Linked DNA regions of Diceros bicornis minor. The protein of the gene in region 1 purifies or fractionates together with the protein of each later gene. This does not show direct contact. Links are inferred from orthologs where the notes say so. Each region holds a gene or a part of one and is shown on either strand. Other genes may lie near its edges.

The links.
Region 2: the proteins of TAP1 (region 1) and TAPBP purify together in Homo sapiens (co-immunoprecipitation; 6 studies listed by BioGRID and IntAct, with this or other methods). This does not show direct contact. The link is inferred for Diceros bicornis minor from reciprocal best matches to the Homo sapiens genes TAP1 and TAPBP.

The regions. Positions count from the first base shown.
Region 1 is NC_080753.1:31,464,459-31,472,593, reverse strand, and holds the start of TAP1 (antigen peptide transporter 1), read right to left. Parts: upstream 3,120-8,135; 5' UTR 2,950-3,119; coding exon 2,352-2,949; intron 1,860-2,351; coding exon 1,745-1,859; intron 1,587-1,744; coding exon 1,456-1,586; intron 670-1,455; coding exon 464-669; intron 66-463; coding exon 1-65. Other genes in the region: PSMB9 (proteasome subunit beta type-9), read left to right, coding at 3,567-3,626, 5,481-5,548, 6,274-6,405, 7,052-7,181, 7,427-7,568, 8,132-8,135. UniProt on the Homo sapiens protein: ABC transporter associated with antigen processing. In complex with TAP2 mediates unidirectional translocation of peptide antigens from cytosol to endoplasmic reticulum (ER) for loading onto MHC class I (MHCI) molecules.
Region 2 is NC_080753.1:31,148,080-31,155,909, reverse strand, and holds the start of TAPBP (tapasin), read right to left. Parts: upstream 3,006-7,830; 5' UTR 2,821-3,005; coding exon 2,784-2,820; intron 2,645-2,783; coding exon 2,474-2,644; intron 2,254-2,473; coding exon 1,993-2,253; intron 1-1,992. Other genes in the region: ZBTB22 (zinc finger and BTB domain-containing protein 22), read right to left, coding at 3,792-5,708; DAXX (death domain-associated protein 6), read right to left, coding at 7,349-7,408, 7,609-7,830. UniProt on the Homo sapiens protein: Involved in the association of MHC class I with transporter associated with antigen processing (TAP) and in the assembly of MHC class I with peptide (peptide loading).

The DNA.
Region 1 (8,135 bases):
GACAGAACCTCAATGGCCACCTGGCTGGACTCTGCCAGAGACTTCTGCACCTGTGCTGCCAGCGTCTGTGGAGACATGGACAAGAGATGTCACAAAGGGTTGACAAACCAAAGGGACACTAGTACCTGAGTTACCTGAATGGAGACTAAAGGTGGAAAGAGGCAGAGGGACAGGAGAAAAGAGAAAGAAACACAGTTATCCCCCCTGGATACTAAAGCAATACAGACGAGAGGAAAATGACTCAGAAGGGCCATAGGGGATCATATTCTTGAGACTGGTGATCATATTCTTAAAGATAGATTGTGGCCAGAAGAGAAGACAGAGAATATGAAGATCAACATTGAGCAATCCTACAAAGGTGGAGAATCAGTGAGGGTGCCAGGAAAGAAATATAAGAGGATCTGAGTCCTCCAAGTCTGGGAGATGAGAGTCTGTGTAAGTTGAGGCGACTCCCTGGACATACCTGCTGCCATTTTCCCAGCTTCTTAGGCAGAAGGAAAAGCAGAGGCAGGGCGACCAGGGTGACCATGGTGAGAGACGGTGACCCCCAGAGCATGAGCCCCAAGAGACACAGCCCTCGCACCAGGTACCACAGCAATAGGCTCAGCTGGTCACTCAGAGACTCACTCAGGGTGGACGTGTCCTCTGTTACCCGAGATGTGATGGCACCTGCCGGGTTCAGGACAAGAGAGCGGAGTGAGTGAGAGGCAGAGTGATGGGAGGGACTAGCAATGAGCCTGGCTGCCAGGGGGAGGGGTGTCGACGTGGTGTTCTAAAGAGGCTGGGGAAAACAAGGTTAGGGCTATAGGGAGGTTTGGCGATCTCAGTGCAGGGAGAAGGAGTGTTAGAGAGGAAAAGCGTGGCCAAAGACCTTCAATTTAATTGTAAAGAAACTGATGCCCATGTGAATTTCCGTTTCTCTGACAGATTTCTGTTCCTTAAAAAACCTGTATATCCCATGCTGTACACATAGACAGGAAGAGTTTAAGCTGGTGATATAACAGAGCTGGAGAAAAACAGAGGGTGCTAATATAAAGCAGTGCAGGAAACTGTACTGAGCACTGAACTGAGAATCAAGAGACGGGTTCCATCCCCAGGTTCGTCTCTTATCCATATGTGACCATGCAAGTTTCAGCATTGAGGGTCTAGGCCTCAGTTTCCCTCTCTGTAAAATGAGGCAGTTGGACTCTGTGATCTCAAAATTTCCAGGCTTGAAATTCTGTAGTTTCTATCTAAATACACATATAGGGATACATTTATGGAAAAATCTTGGATGGAAAAACTAGGGCTTTTTGAAGGTAAAGAGTGTCATATTTTGCCCTTGAGGTATAACAAGAATAAGCAATGACAATGTTCATATGTGAGAGAGAGGGATCAAGGTTATAAGTAAAGAAGATGTATGGGGATATTAAGAGTACATATATGGATGTGTAATGAAAGAGATTCACGAGAAACCTGTTTGGGTCTGTTGGAAAAACTCTGTTTCCTGGCGCAGGACAGCCCGAAACACCTCTCCGTGCAAGTGGCTGTGCACGCGGCCCATGGTGCTGTTGTAGATCCCATCACCCAGGAACTCCAGCACTGCACTAGAGAGAGACAGAGAAGGAGGGTCAGGGTGTGTTCAGGGGACAGACAGAAGGTCCCAGGTATCCCTGAGAAGTGCACTTTGGACAGCAGCCCGAACTTCCAACTCCCTTTTTTTCAGAGTCCCCCCTTCTCAGCCTTCCATCTTTAGTGCCCAGACCTGGCTATGGTGAGAATGGACATGAGAGCTATGTTTTGAGTGAAGGCAGCGGCTGACCCATCTTGTAGAATCCGGCCGGTGAGGCGGCCAGTGAAGAATGGAATGGCCATCTCCCCTGGGGAAGGAGAGGAGAGAGAGAGGTCAGTCACTAATATCAAGTCTGAGCAGGTCAGCTCCAGCCAGACTGGCCTCAACCCACCCCTCTTTCACCCTTCACCATTATCCCGGAGGTCAGTGGCAGAAAGAGCACACTGAGGACACAACCCTGCACCTGAACAGGCCGCCCTGGAACTCACGACGCTGTGGCCCCGCCAGACCTTTAGGAGTTTAATTAGGAGATCATAGGGTGTGTGCCCCAGAGGAAAGGACTTGCCCAAGGTGGCCAGTGAAGCCACGCCTGCGGCAGCACTGGAGTCCACGACTCCTGACTCCCACCCAGTCCGGGGCTCTTTCGTCTACACTGGAGTGGTCTTCTCAAGACACGAGCTCGGTCGCCTTCGCCCGATCCACATTTCCCAGAATGCATACTAATCTCTCTCACTGACCATTGCTGTTGATTCCTGCCGAGTCCCCTAGCGTCCTCTCTGTCCCCGTGCGCCCCCCTTACCAAGACAGGAGAAGACCAACAGGACGAGAACCGGCGGGAGGCGGCGTATCTCTGAGCCCAGGCAGCCCAGAAGCCGACGCACCGCGTCTCCAGAACCCCCGTGATCTCCTGGCACCCAAAGTCTCCTGAGATTGTGCCACAGGGCGGCTGCGGGCAGTGCTGCTGCGTAGCTGAGGACGAAGGCGTCGAAGCGACTTCCCCAGTGCAGTAGCCTGGTGCTGCCGGCGTCCCTGGGGACTCTCCAGGAGGCGAGCTCTCGGAACAAGGCAAGTCCTGGCAGGGCCAAGCCCAGCGCCGCCGCCAGCGGCTCCAAAGCAGCCAGCCATCCTTGGACTCCTGCGCTTTCGCTCTTGGAGCCAACGGTGGCCCTGAGGACCGTGCGGGCCCCCAGCCACAGCACAGCCCAACGGCTCAGGCCCACCGCCCAGACCCGGAGCAGCGGCAGCGCGTTGGGCACCAGCAGGGAGAATATTCTGGGCAGCGCCGGCCGGAGCAGGACCCAGTCGGCGAGAAGCAGCAGCGTTGTGCCCAGCCACGCGAGGGAAGCTCGGGAGAGGCAGAGGCACCCGCAGGGAGCGGGGGACCGTGAGCCGGCCATTGGCACGCGGGCGCTGTCGGGCGTCGCGCCCGGGCCTGGGACTCCGCCGTCCCCGCTGGGCCGGAGTCTCCGGGTGCGGTTCGAGTCGGTGCCCGAGCGGGCGCCGGGACCGGCGGCTGGGGGAGGGAGGAAGGGCGGGCCGGGGCGGAGCTCTCGGAAAGTCCCAGGAACCGGCTGAGCCCGTCCGCGCTAGCAGGTTTAGTGGAAAGAGAAAACGAAAGCGGTCCCCGGCTCGCTAGATCCGCCCCCTTCCGAACACGGCCGGCCCAGATGATTTGGGGAAAGGGCTTAAGGAAATCAGATCTGAGGTTCTGGGGAGCAGCCCCGGTGCTCCATCTTTGTCCATCACGCACAGCCGTCCCTCCTCCTTTCCTTGCTTCCTCTGGCAGGATCCGCTTGTCGGGACTTTCTCACCCCAGCCTCAGGGCGGGACTCTTGCGTCACCTGTCTCCGGGCAGATCGGCCGCACAAAGGTTAGCGCTCGGAAGCGCGGCCTCGGGAGAGGACCCAGGCGCCCCCTGGCGGGCGTGGTGAAGGGGCGGGGCTGTAGGCTGCGCGCAGCGCGCTGTCCCAGGTCGGAAACCAGTGCCCCAGGCAGCGAGGAGCGCGGCGCCGGGATGCTGCGGGCGGGAGGACCAACCGGGGACTTACCCCGGGCCGGAGAAGTCCACACTGGGGTAATGAGCTGGGCTTGAGGGTTAGCAGAGGGGTGGAGGAAGTAGAGCGATGGGGGACGGTGGAAGCGCCGAGGAGTGAATGCGGAGACTAAGGAGAGTGAGGAGATGATAGCTTGTAGCAGCCAGTGCTTGCACCCCACAATGATATAGGGCATCTGTATTCTGAAGGGGATCATCTAGGGGTCCGCGAAGGGACTGGGCACTCGAGGGTAGTGGAGAAGGGGGTGCTTTGGCTCTTAGCTGGAAACGTCAAGGGGAAGCTGTTCTAAAGCGCTTTCGCTTTCACTCTGAACTGGAGAGAGGGGCTGCTCTGAACTGGGAGGGGGGTTGGAGAAGGTGCAAAGAGATAAGAAAATGGTGCCCTGGGTGAAGTAGGACAACACCTGGGGGAGGGAAGTATGGGCGCTGATCGCAAAGGGACACCTCATCACACAGACTTTTGATAAACTGGTCCCTGAGTAACTCATAGCCCAGCACTGATCATGGGTGTTCCATGTGAGCTGATGGTGCCCTTCTCTGGCTTGGCCCAGGAATGCGCCTGCATGGCCCAGGTGCTGCCATGCTCCCTTCCCTGTGTCTTCCCTACCCACTCCCACATGCCTGCTGGGGACTTTGTCCAGACTGGGTGCCTGGAGATGTGGCAGCCTAAAGCTGGCTACCTTCTGCTCCCAGACTACTGCTGCCACTCTTGGCTTGGGGCAGCTTTGTTATAGAGGAATGACCTCTAGGACGGGGTTGTCCCTGCTCTCTGGCCCTCTACTCATGGGAAATCAGCATGTCAGAAAGCATCGTCAGGGCAGTATCCCCAGGCGCCAGACTAACTGACAAGTGGTGAGCAAGATAGCGGTAAAACCACTAATATGTTAGAAAATCTCCCCTCACTGCCAGATGAACAGTGGCAAGTAGGAAGTAGAAGTCCAAACAAGGGATGGCAGTTAGACTTGGGTTTTGTCCCAGTCTGCTATTAATTCTGTGTGACCTTGGATGAATCACTTGCCTTCTCTATGACTCGGTTTCCTCATTTGAGCCAAGTATCTTTAAGGCTCTTTCCAACTCAACAGGAGTAGAGAAAGTGTAGCTTTATCCTCCTTCACTCTTGCTTAATTCTTTTCTTGACCTGAAAAAGTCAGCTCAGACTCTCCAATCAACTCCCTCTTCCCTTGGCTGCTGGGATATCTATTTACCTCTTGATCAGAAATCCTTAAGTGAAACTTTTATTGTAAACCATCACATGTGCTCCCTGCTGCTTCCCTCCTTCCTTGACATGTGGCCATGCTAACCACTTACCCCTCCATGTTTTTCTCCATTGTTCAGTAAACTGAAAAAGCTTGCTTCTGATTAAGTGGGGGGCGGGGGGGGATTTAGGGCCAAAAAAAGACCTGAGCTGTTTCCCAAGGTCACAGTAACTTGCTCTGTGTCAGGTCTGTACTGCATTTGCACATACAACAAGCACATGTGGTAGAGGTAATTCACTTGTGGGGCTGCCTCACTGAAGCTTGGAAGTACCCCCTGAGCCCTTCCCTCAAAGGGAGCGCTTATGCCCCTAGGAGCTTCATCCCCAACTCTCTCCCTACAGTGGAAAGGATTCCACGTAGGAAGGTTGGAACTTAGGGATGTGGTTCTTTCTGTGTCGTACCACGGCCAGGCTATGACATTCCCTTGCAGCTGAGAGAGGCAATAGAGAAAATGGGAAGATGGAAGAAAAAATCCTGTAAAGTGGGAATCAGCTCTGGCCTGAATTATTGAATGCCCTTGAGCCAGTTACCTCTCCTCTTTAGGAATGTTTCCTCATCTGTAACATGAGGGGATCAAGGCTCTGCCTGCTCTGACATTCCATCTTCTGTGTCTCTGCAGACAACCATCATGGCAGTAGAGTTTGATGGGGGCGTTGTGGTGGGTTCTGATTCCCGGGTGTCTGCGGGGTAAGTATCAGTGAACGTATCTGCTTTGGGAAGGAAGCTAGTGGCCCTAAATATGTGTTTTTCTTACCTATTCATGAAGAGACTAGTGAACTGGATCTTTGGAGAAATGGAGTTAACCTTTCAGAAAGGCCAGTATAATAAGATATTGGGTGGGTGCTCAGGTCTCTGATTTCATGGAGGAGCATGTGGGGCCTGAATGCTTATGTGGCCTGTCCCTGGAAGGAATAGAGTCTAAGAAGGGGATAGGAGATGGAGATTTGAGGGGCCCTCTTTAGATAGAAAAGATGATTCTGCCAAGCAGATATTCTGGTTTCTCATCTTTCACACGTTGAACTAATTTTGAGTCTTTCTCCCTCCTGGCCAATTGCCTCACATGCAAAATGACCATATGAGATTAGATCAATATTACTTACTTTATGTTCCATGAAACACATAACTTCCTCAAGATGGTTAATAGCAAAGAAAAATTGATAAAAGGAGCATTATTCTTAACTTAGTATTTTTTATTATAAAATCTAAGCCTGAAAGTAAGTCTAATTCTGATTATTACTTGCAGTGTTTCATTTATTTGAGACGATTTTTATGCTCCCTGCTTTAATCCAAGCATTGAATTTCATGCACTATGTGGCTGTCCTCTTGTCAAATAAGTTTGAGAAACACCGGACGATTAACCTCAAAAATTTCTGCAACTCTAACGTTGATGACTGTTGACTCCTTTCCGACAGAGAGGCAGTGGTGAACCGAGTGTTTGACAAGCTGTCCCCCCTGCACCAACGTATCTACTGTGCCCTCTCTGGTTCAGCTGCTGACGCCCAGGCTGTGGCCGACATGGCCGCCTACCAGCTGGAGCTCCATGGGTATGAAGCTCGAAGCTCTCGGGTCCTCACTCCACACCTGCTAGAGCTCCCGCAGGCAGTGAACCCCCGTACCGTGTCCTGTTGCAGGAGCACTGTCTTGTTTGAGCTCTTGCTTTTGTTAGCTTTCAACTGGCACTTGAATCTCTCTAAGCTGGTTTCTGCATCCGTAAAGTGGAGATAATAGTACCTACCCTACCTCGCCAGATGGTTGTTTTGAGAAGCAAATGACATATGCGAAGGCAGTTTGAAAACTTTAAATCACTATCCTAATGTAAATAATGAGGAAGAAAAGGATGATGTTGCCCACCAAAATATCAGACGGTTACTGTATGAAAAACCAAGGTCTTGGGGTGGAAGTAAAGCTTATCTGCTATTACCCACGTGGGCAGGGCCCTTGCAGCCAAGAGAGAGTTATGCCATTGGGGGGTGAATGGGTGGGACAGAGTAAAGGAGGGGAACAATTGAAATCTTGTTACTGGTTGGTGGCGTGAGACTCTGGCTCCCCTGTACATGTGGGAGGGGAGCCAGAGTTTGAACCATTGCAGCTATAGGTTTCAAGTGTCACTTGGCAGGAATGATGGAAATGGCACAGGAGGATGGAACCTCAGGAAATTATATTGACCCCTATTCCTAACATTTCCTGCAGGATGGAACTGGAAGAACCTCCGCTTGTTCTGGCTGCTGCCAACGTGGTGAGGAATATCACCTACAAATATCGGGAGGATCTGTCTGCACATCTCATGGTAGCTGGCTGGGACCAACGTGAAGGGGGCCAGGCGAGTCTTCCCCAATGCACTCCCTCCCTTGAGGTTCCCCACTCTCCTGTAGAGGGACATGGAGGTCATATGTCATTCTAGCAATGAGTTCCAAAGACATTGCCTCTGAAAGCGTAGTACGGTCTCAACCAATGGGGGTATGAGATATTGGGGCTTCATTGCAGAGTGCAGAGACCACCTGCTTGTCTCAGTAGGAAGGAGAAGACTGATGCTTCTATAGTCTGACCTGAGGATGCCTCCCTCAGGTATACGGAACCCTGGGAGGAATGCTGACTCGACAGCCCTTTGCCATTGGTGGCTCTGGCAGCACCTATATCTACGGTTATGTGGACGCAGCATATAAACCAGGCATGTCCCCTGAGGAGTGCAGGCGCTTCACCACGGATGGTAACTAACCAAGTGGAAGGGTACCTGGGAGGGTTTTTAAACATGGGAAGGAAGGAGAATATGAAGAACAGGAAGAGGAATACATGGGTGACCATTTAATTTAATGTCCAAAGGACAACACTTTTGAGAGTGAAAGGGGGCAGAATAAATGCTTACCTAAATGGGACTTCAGAACAAAAGGCATAAACCAGGACTGTTCTGAGTACACCAAATTAAGGTACATGGTTACCATAAGAACCGGCAGTGTGCTGGAGCTGGCTTGGGCCAGCTCATGAGAGCCAATTGTTAAATAATCAAGGGTTTGTGACCTGCTTGTTAAGCTATTTATAACTTGAAATTGATCATGGTGGGAGTATTGAGACCATAGACATCGGGAGATGCTACATATGAAGGCTTTTATTTTTTTAAGTTGGTTTACCAGCACACCACTAAATGTGCCTTTCTAGGAGATGGGTTTTGAGGTCTGAATGTGGTAGTAGGCATATGGACAGGAGGGAAAGGAAAAGATTTTTGAAGCTAAGCCATTCTCTCTCTCTCTCTCCCCAACTTGAAACCCTCTGCAGCTAT
Region 2 (7,830 bases), about 320 kb from region 1:
AGAAAAGAAGGTGGGGGGAGAGTAGGTAAAACAATTTGGTAAAATGTAATAACTATACCATGGGTGATGGGTACATGGGAGTTCATTATATGATTCTCTCTACTTTTGTGTATCTGAAATTTCCCATAACAATGTTTTAAAAGAATGATGAGAATTAAATACCATACACACAAAGTATGTTAACAAAGTAAATTTGTTAACAAACATTTGAAAGTATTTGATAAGAAATAATGTATAAATGTATATTAGCAAGATTACCAATGATCTGACCCTGGAAAGATTCCATTTTTAATTTTACATTAAAACAACAACTTTCATTTTCTTCAGTCCCTAATCAAGCAGAAATGCTTGAAAAGGAAGACTGAGCACAGCAGTGAGTTTTTACCCCCAGTGGTCTGTGAGATGTAGATAATTTCCCCCCCTGGGCACTCCCATGGTTTCCTATCTGCACTTCTTTCAAGGCCCAAGTCACTTTCTAATCTACATAACAATTACCTCTGACAAATCTGCCTAGAACCTTCTAGAGAGCAGAATCTACATCTGATCACCTTTGTGACCCTTAAAAGTGCCCGGGGCCACCAAGAGATTCTCATTTAATTCCCTTGGAGTGGGACCCAGGTTTCAGTATATTTTAGAAACTTCAAGAAGATTCTTATTTGCAGCCTGGACTGAGAACTACTGGGCCCTAATTTATTCTGGGTGCTAATAAATATTTATTGAATCAGTGAATAAATTAACAAAGTGTCTCCCATGATAGTCACAACAAGGGTAAGGCAGATTGGAAATAGCATCTACATTTTACATTTGGAAAAACAGACTCAGAGAGAAAAGGACATTTTCACCCCCCACCTCGGTGAAGCCAGCAGCCCTGGAAAATACTCCTCCTCACTGGAGAGAGCTACTGTCCCCACGAGCAGCAGTTTGCCTCTGCCCCTGCCCAGGGTGGGGTCTGGGAACTAAGAATGGAGGTGTAGGCAGAGGTGAAGATTGCGGGGTGGGTGCTGAATCCGTTTCCCTGGTCCTGTGGGTGATTGTCTGACAGTGAGGAGAGTGGCTGGGAGGAGGTACTGGGGAAGGGAGGGTGCAGGGCTCGGCTGGGATTGACCTGCCAGTCCGGCTGTGGACTTTCTTGGCCAGGCGGCCCCCGCCCGCATAAAATCGCACAAGACTGAGGGAAGCCGAGGACTCTACCTACTCACATCCTACCCACACTTCGCTGCGAAAAGGGAGAGCTGCCAGATATCCCAATCAGATCTTCCCCATTCTTGCTTTTTCTGCCCACTCCTTCTCCGCGCCCCAGCCCAGCAAAGTGCCCGACCGCTGGGCCTCAGACCGCGTTGCACGATGCAATCAGCGATCCTTGCAGTGAGGACTATCAGGTCCCTTGCAGTGAGGACTATCAGGTCTCCTGCCATGTCCCTTCCGCCCACCCGAGCCCACCGCTTGGTGACCACAGAATCAGCGCATCCCCACGCGCCATAGGGAAGGGGCTGTCAGGGAAGTGAACGCGCTCGAGCGCAAGAGCCTTTCCTTGCTGACTGCTGCAGCGATGGATGTGGACCCGGTGGGGCTCGAAGACTGGTTTTTGAAACAGGGTGAACCACAAAGGTGTGGGTGCCTACAGATCTGGGAGGAGAGGAGAAAAAAGTTCCTGCTTCTGAGCCCCTCCCAACCGCGCCGCCTAAAAAGTTTCTTAAGGTCCGGTGTCCGGAAACCCCGCCTCGCTCCAAAGCTCCGCCCTTCCGACCACGAAGCCCCGTCCCCAAGCTGCAGGGTTTTGGTTTTCTTTGATTTGGGGGGATTTTTTACTGGGCGGGGCTAGAAGAAGCGGTAGAGATAGATTGTTTAATTCCTGCCGAACCGCCTCGCTTTATAAGTAAGGAAACTGAGACTCGATGTGGGAAATGACTGGCTCAAGTCCACATAGCGAGTCACCAGCTGATCTGGACCCTTAGAATTTACCCATTCGCTCCATTTCCCCTCCCCAGCTACCTGTTGCCGTGGTGATGAGAGCGGGCTCGGGCTGAGGCTCGGACTGTGGTCGCAGGAGGCCGGAGAGGCTGAGGACCTGGCTGGACACGCTGACCATGAGCCAAGTCCCGTCCAGAGCCCGCGGGCAGTTGTGCTCCGGGGTCAAGCCGCTGGCCCAATTCGCCGAGGCGGGGAGCAGCACATAGCGGCTCATCTCGCAGTGTGGCGCGGGGGCGTCCGGGGGGTACCGCCTGAAGGCGGCCTGGAGAGCGCCCGCCGGGTCTGTGAGAGAAGAGAGTTGAGCTCTAGAGTCACCGCCAGGCGCGGTGAGGGCAGCGTCCAGGGAATTTCAAATGCACAGACTACTTGGTAGTGAGAAATTTGGAGGTAACCAGACTCATTTTACAGAGGGGGAAACTGAAGCCCGAGGGCACTGTGCGACCTAAAGAGGAGGGTTTTCGGTGCAGGCGACAGAGGTGGGAGCGAGTCCGGGATGACTCACCATGCACTTTGAGGTAGAGCTGCGGGTCGAGGTCCGGCCGGGGAGGTGGTCCCCCCGGGCCCTGGCGCAGCAGCAGTGCAGCGGGTTTCTTGGCCAGGCGGCCCCCGCCCGCATCCTCCACGAACCAGCACTCTATCACCGCAGGTCCGGCCGAGACGGCGGTCGCCAAGCCTGGGGCAGAGCGGCGCGAGTGAGGGGGCGGCCCAGACGTCAGATGACCCGACCCCCACCCCCCGGCGGCAGGCGCGTGGCAGGGTCACCTCCCTCCGCTTCCCCCTCGTTCCTGGGCAGACTCCGGGGGTTCGCTCACCCAAAACCACAGCGAGGAGAAAGGACAAGGGCTTCATGGCGCCGCGATCTCCTCAGCCCGGAAGCCTGCTCTTCCCCTTTCACTTTCTCTTTACTCTCAAGGCCATCAGGAGGGGCGGAGGCAACCCCCGCTCCGGTTAGGTGAGGGCACGTGGGCGGCAGGTGTTTCCCCCACTGGCGGGGCAGGGATCCCGGAACATTCTCTTCAGTTCAGGTCTGGGACCTCAGCCCCGCCCCGCCCTCCTGACCGCACCAGCACTGCCCAGTCCCAGAGCCCTCCCCAACCATAGGCCCCGCCCCCGATCATTTCCCCCCAGAATCCACTTTGCGAAGAACCACTACTCCGCCTTCCCCGACCTCTGCCAGTTTCCCAGCAAACACATAGGGGTTGTCGGGAAGCCAAGTGAAATGACCAATAAATATTTTAATGATGGTTTAAAAAAAATAAGATTTAAAATAAAAAGCTTGTACTCCTACGACCTCCTCCTTGTCTCCACTCCCTCCCCGATGAAAATCGAGTTGGGGGACCCCAAGGTGGGGGAAGGGTTGGGATTAGGGTAGAAATAAGGGGCACATCCTTCGGGGGACGGGGTGGGTCCTAGGACAAGGGTGGGGCTCAAAGGCGTGGTCCCCACGACAACACAAACACAGACTTAGGTACAGACTATAACCACCTGACCCCTGACCCTGTGACTCCACGATGCTCAACAGGCCCCCTCTCCCGCCTCCTCCCCAACCATATGAGCCCTACTCTGGAGCTGGGGCTTCAGCGTACCCATCTGAAGCGAAGAGAGGGCTTAGTTCCGGGGATACTTTGGGGGGGGAGGGGCTGACACGTGGAATGGGTGGCCGATGGTGCAACATGGTTCCCCCTGAAGAATATATACAAGTCCATAGAGATAAGGAAGACAGTAAGTGTGGTGGGACATCGCCTGGGGGCCACAGTAACCCCTGGCTCGTGATCTCTATTCCCTCTTCCCCGAAAGCTACTCCCAAGCAGCCTGTCCCTTCAGTTTGCTCCTCCGCCCCCACTGAAGCCCATCTCCACCTTGTGGACGCTGAGTGGGGACCAGACCCGTCGGCTAGACGGGGGCGTGGCCCCACTAGCCTCGTCGCCGCTGCCCCCGCCCACCCCGGGGGACTCTCTCTTGGGCGGTAAGGCTGGCCCCGTGGGCGCGCCGGGTCCCGGCCCGGCCCCGCCCCCGCCCCCGCCCCCGCCCAGGCGGTGCCTGCGCTCACAGTGTCCCCGGTGGCGCATGAAGCTATCGCGCCACATGAACTTCTTGGCGCAGACGCCGCACTCGTAGGGCTTGAGGCCTGTGTGCGTCTTCATGTGCTCGGTCAGGTGGTGCTTCATCTTGAACTTTTTGTTGCACACGGGGCAGTCAAAGGGCCGCAGGTTGAGATGCATGTTCACATGCCGATCGCGCATGCTCTTGTGGGAGAAGGCCTTCCCGCAGTGGCACAGAAAGATCTTATTCCCATCCCCGCCGCCTGTCCCTCCAGGGGTCCCTCCAGCGCCGCCTGGCACCCCCAGGGCCCCTGCCGATGTGCCCCCCAGGGTCACTGCCCCGTGTTCAGCTTGGTTCCCTGGTGGCTGGCCTGAAGCCTGTGAGGAGGAGGAGGAGGACGATGGGAAGACTAGGATCTGGTTGCCCTGCACATCCAGGGGAAGCAGGGGCCTCGGAGGGTGGGACGGGGCATAGGAGGAAGGGGTTGGCCCCCCTGAATCATCAAGCCCTGCCCCAGGACCCCCACCCTCATAGGGGCCAAAGTCATTGGAGGACTCACAGAAATTGACCTGCTCCTCTCCCTTGTCCGGAGGTTCAGTCAGGGTCCGGACATCACTTATGCTAAGGGTAGTCTCAGGTCTTCCCCCTGCTGGAACTCCAGAGCCACCCCCCAGCTCTTCATCTTCATCATCCTCACACGTCAACACCAGGTCTTCCTCCTCCTCCTCCTCTTCCAGATCTGGGTCTTGGGGAACCAGGGGCGCTGATGCTGGGCAGTTTCCACCTCGCTTCACATATACCCAGTGTTTCTGCGGCACGATGCTGGGGGGTGCATAGGTGGGTCGCCGGAGCCCAGCCCCAGGGACCACTGCACCCCTCCCATCCCCACCGTCATCACAAAGCTCATCTGCCTCCAGCAGCAGCTTCCCAGAAGTAGCCCCCCCACTGCCAACCACAGGGGCTGGGAATACAGGGCCGCCTCCTCGACGCTCCCCGCTGCCCACTGCAGGAGCTGCAAATGCCTCTTGGGAGGGAGATGAGAAATCAGTGGACTCCCGGGGGCTGAAATAGTTGCTGCTGCTGGGGGACTGATTCTCACTGGCCCGACTGGAGGCATGGGAGCGCATGGAGCCCATGGCGGCAGGGGCCACGGTGCCCCCACTCCCTGACGGGACCCCAGCACCAGGGACAGTGACTGAGGAGGCTGCAGCAGTGGTGGTGGCGGCGGTGGTGGCCGAGGCCCGGCCTTCTCGGAGGAGTTCAGTGCACTTATCCACGATGTGCCACATCTGGAGCACAGATCCCACTGTGAGGAAGTTGACAATGTCAGCAGCAGCCATGCTGAGGCGGCCAGTGTAAGCCGAAGCCAAGACAGTCTCGAAAGCGCCTGGGTCCATGACGCTGGGCAGTGAGATGGAGGTCATGCCCTTGAGTAGGACCTGGTCATGGAAGTAAGGGGAGGAGGCAGCCAGGACAGCACGATGAGCCCTGAACTCTCGTCCCTGCACCCGGATGGAGACATCACAGAGCTGGCCCTGCAGCCGCTGCTGATTGAGGGACTCCAGCAGGGCACTGGTCACCTCAGGGAAGGATACGTGCACCACCGCAGCTGCAGGCAGGGGCAGTGGGGGCGCGGCCAGCGACAGAGGCAGGGGGAGTGCTGCACCGCTGGGAGACAGAGGAGATGGCTCCATGGTGTGGAGGGAGGGGGTACCCCCCCCAGCCACAGGAACAAGGGAAAGAGGAGGGCGGCCGGGGGGGTCTCTGGGAAGAAAAAGAGAGAAGAATGATAGTATCTCATAATGTCATAGCCCTTTACAGTTTACAGACATGTTTCACCGGCTATCTGAGTAACTCCCCACAACCACACTGTGAGGTAGGTATTCCTCGAAACCCCATTTGACAGATGAGGAAACTGAGGGTCAAAAGGATTAAGAGATTATCCAAGGTCACACAGCCAGTAAACGGCAGCACCAACACAGGTGTATTGACTCCAAATCCAGTGCTCTTTCCTTGGAGGTTAGAGAAATAAGGTGCTCTTGGGGAGGGGGATACCTCCCCTTCAAATTTCCCATTTGCCTGAGCCGGACTTTCTAAAATTTACCTTTTTGGTGTTTGGTACTCTTTTCTTAGGAGAGGGAAAAGTCTGTTCCTGTACTGAAAACTATCCCTCTCTCCGTCTCCATTTAGGCTATACCACCCCCGGCTCTTTCGCAGGCCACGCCCCTTTACCCCCACCTACCTCCAGCCCCGCCCCTTCAAGACCCGCCTCTTGGCCCCTTCGGCTCCGCCCCTTGTCTACCCCCGCCCACACCGGACCCCGCCCCCCCTCTGCTCCGCCCCAAGCGCTACTTTGACCTCCTCTCCCACCCGGAAGGCGCCCCCCAACTCCGCGCGTCCCCGCTTACCGAGCCGCGCGCCCCCGGGCCCCCCCTCCCCTCACTTGGCGGCCAGAGCCGCAGCCTGGGCCCCTCCCGCCGCCATCTTGCGCCGACTCCCTCCGCCCTCCGCCTCCGCTCCGCCTCCCGCCCCTCCGGCTTTAAAGGCACAGGCGGGCACCCCGCCCGTGCCGCTGGGCAATACTCGGCCGACTCGGCCACTTCTCCTTTAAAGTACAGTCGCCGCGTTCCACCTTAAAGTTACCAGGTCCCTTCCGCCGCTGAGGACTCAGGATTTGGTTTCGCCGAAGCACTCATTCCCCTTTAATTCTGTAAGCCTGCCTCTTCCCATTGGCGATGGGTCATGGCCACCGCTGCCTAGGCTCCGCCCCTGAGCTGTGTCCATTAGCGGGTTTGCGGGATCTAATCGCCCTGGTCTCCCAGCTTCTGACAGTCCCCCTGAAATCCCGCCCCCTTCCTCCGGGCCTGGATTGGCCAAATAACCTTGAGTCTGCCCCTGATTGGCTTTTTTACTCCTACCGCTCCAAGTGAGAAAGTAAAGCGAGTCCAGGAGGCTGAAGCACAATTTTTTTAATGCCTGGGAGAGGGCAAGGGGAAGTCCCGAGAGCGAGGATACTCGGAGAGAGGGGCATGCTAAGGGCAGGCTAGAAGGACAGGTCCAGGGCTACCAGAAGGCGGGCTAACCTGGAGCCAGAGAGCAGTGGTGCCAATCAGTGAGAGCCAAAGAACAAGGGACAGACAGAGATACAATAGGAAAAGAACTTTATTGTTTATTAATGTTTCTGTGTAAAACTTAAGCTTTTTAAAATTTTATTTTAAAAGAAACCACCAAAAGGGGATTAGCTCAGTTCACCCCTTCCTCGGTCATCTGCTTCCCACCATCCTCCAAATACTCTCCTCAAAACATTCTGGAGGCAGGGAGCAGGGGGAGGCAGCTAATCCGAGTCCGAGAGCACGATGATCTCCTCTGGATCGCACTGTGTGGCCACACTCATCTGCAGGGGAGTGAGAGACAGAGTCAGAGAGGTCTGGAATAGAGGAGGAGGAGAAGCAGAGGGAAGGACTCTGGAGATTAAAAATTGGGGTGGGAAAAAAAAGAGAACGAGTGTGGTGGGTGCAATATTCAGACAGAGTGCCTGAAACTGAACAGACAACAAAAGAGAATGAAGTCAGGAAAAGTAGCCTCCCCTCTTACCTTGTAAGTACCTGGCCGGGTGGGTTGTGACTGGGGGGTTTGAGACAACCGGGCTGGAGATGGGCTACAGAGGGAGCTGGTCACCAGGCCATGGCTAGGAGAGTCCACCCTCGTGGAGGAATCAGCAACTGGGGCCATGGAAGCCAAGGGGGAAGGTGGGCTGGGCAGGGCACATATCTTCTTGCCATTCTTCTCATGCCCTGCCCTTTGCCTTTCCACATA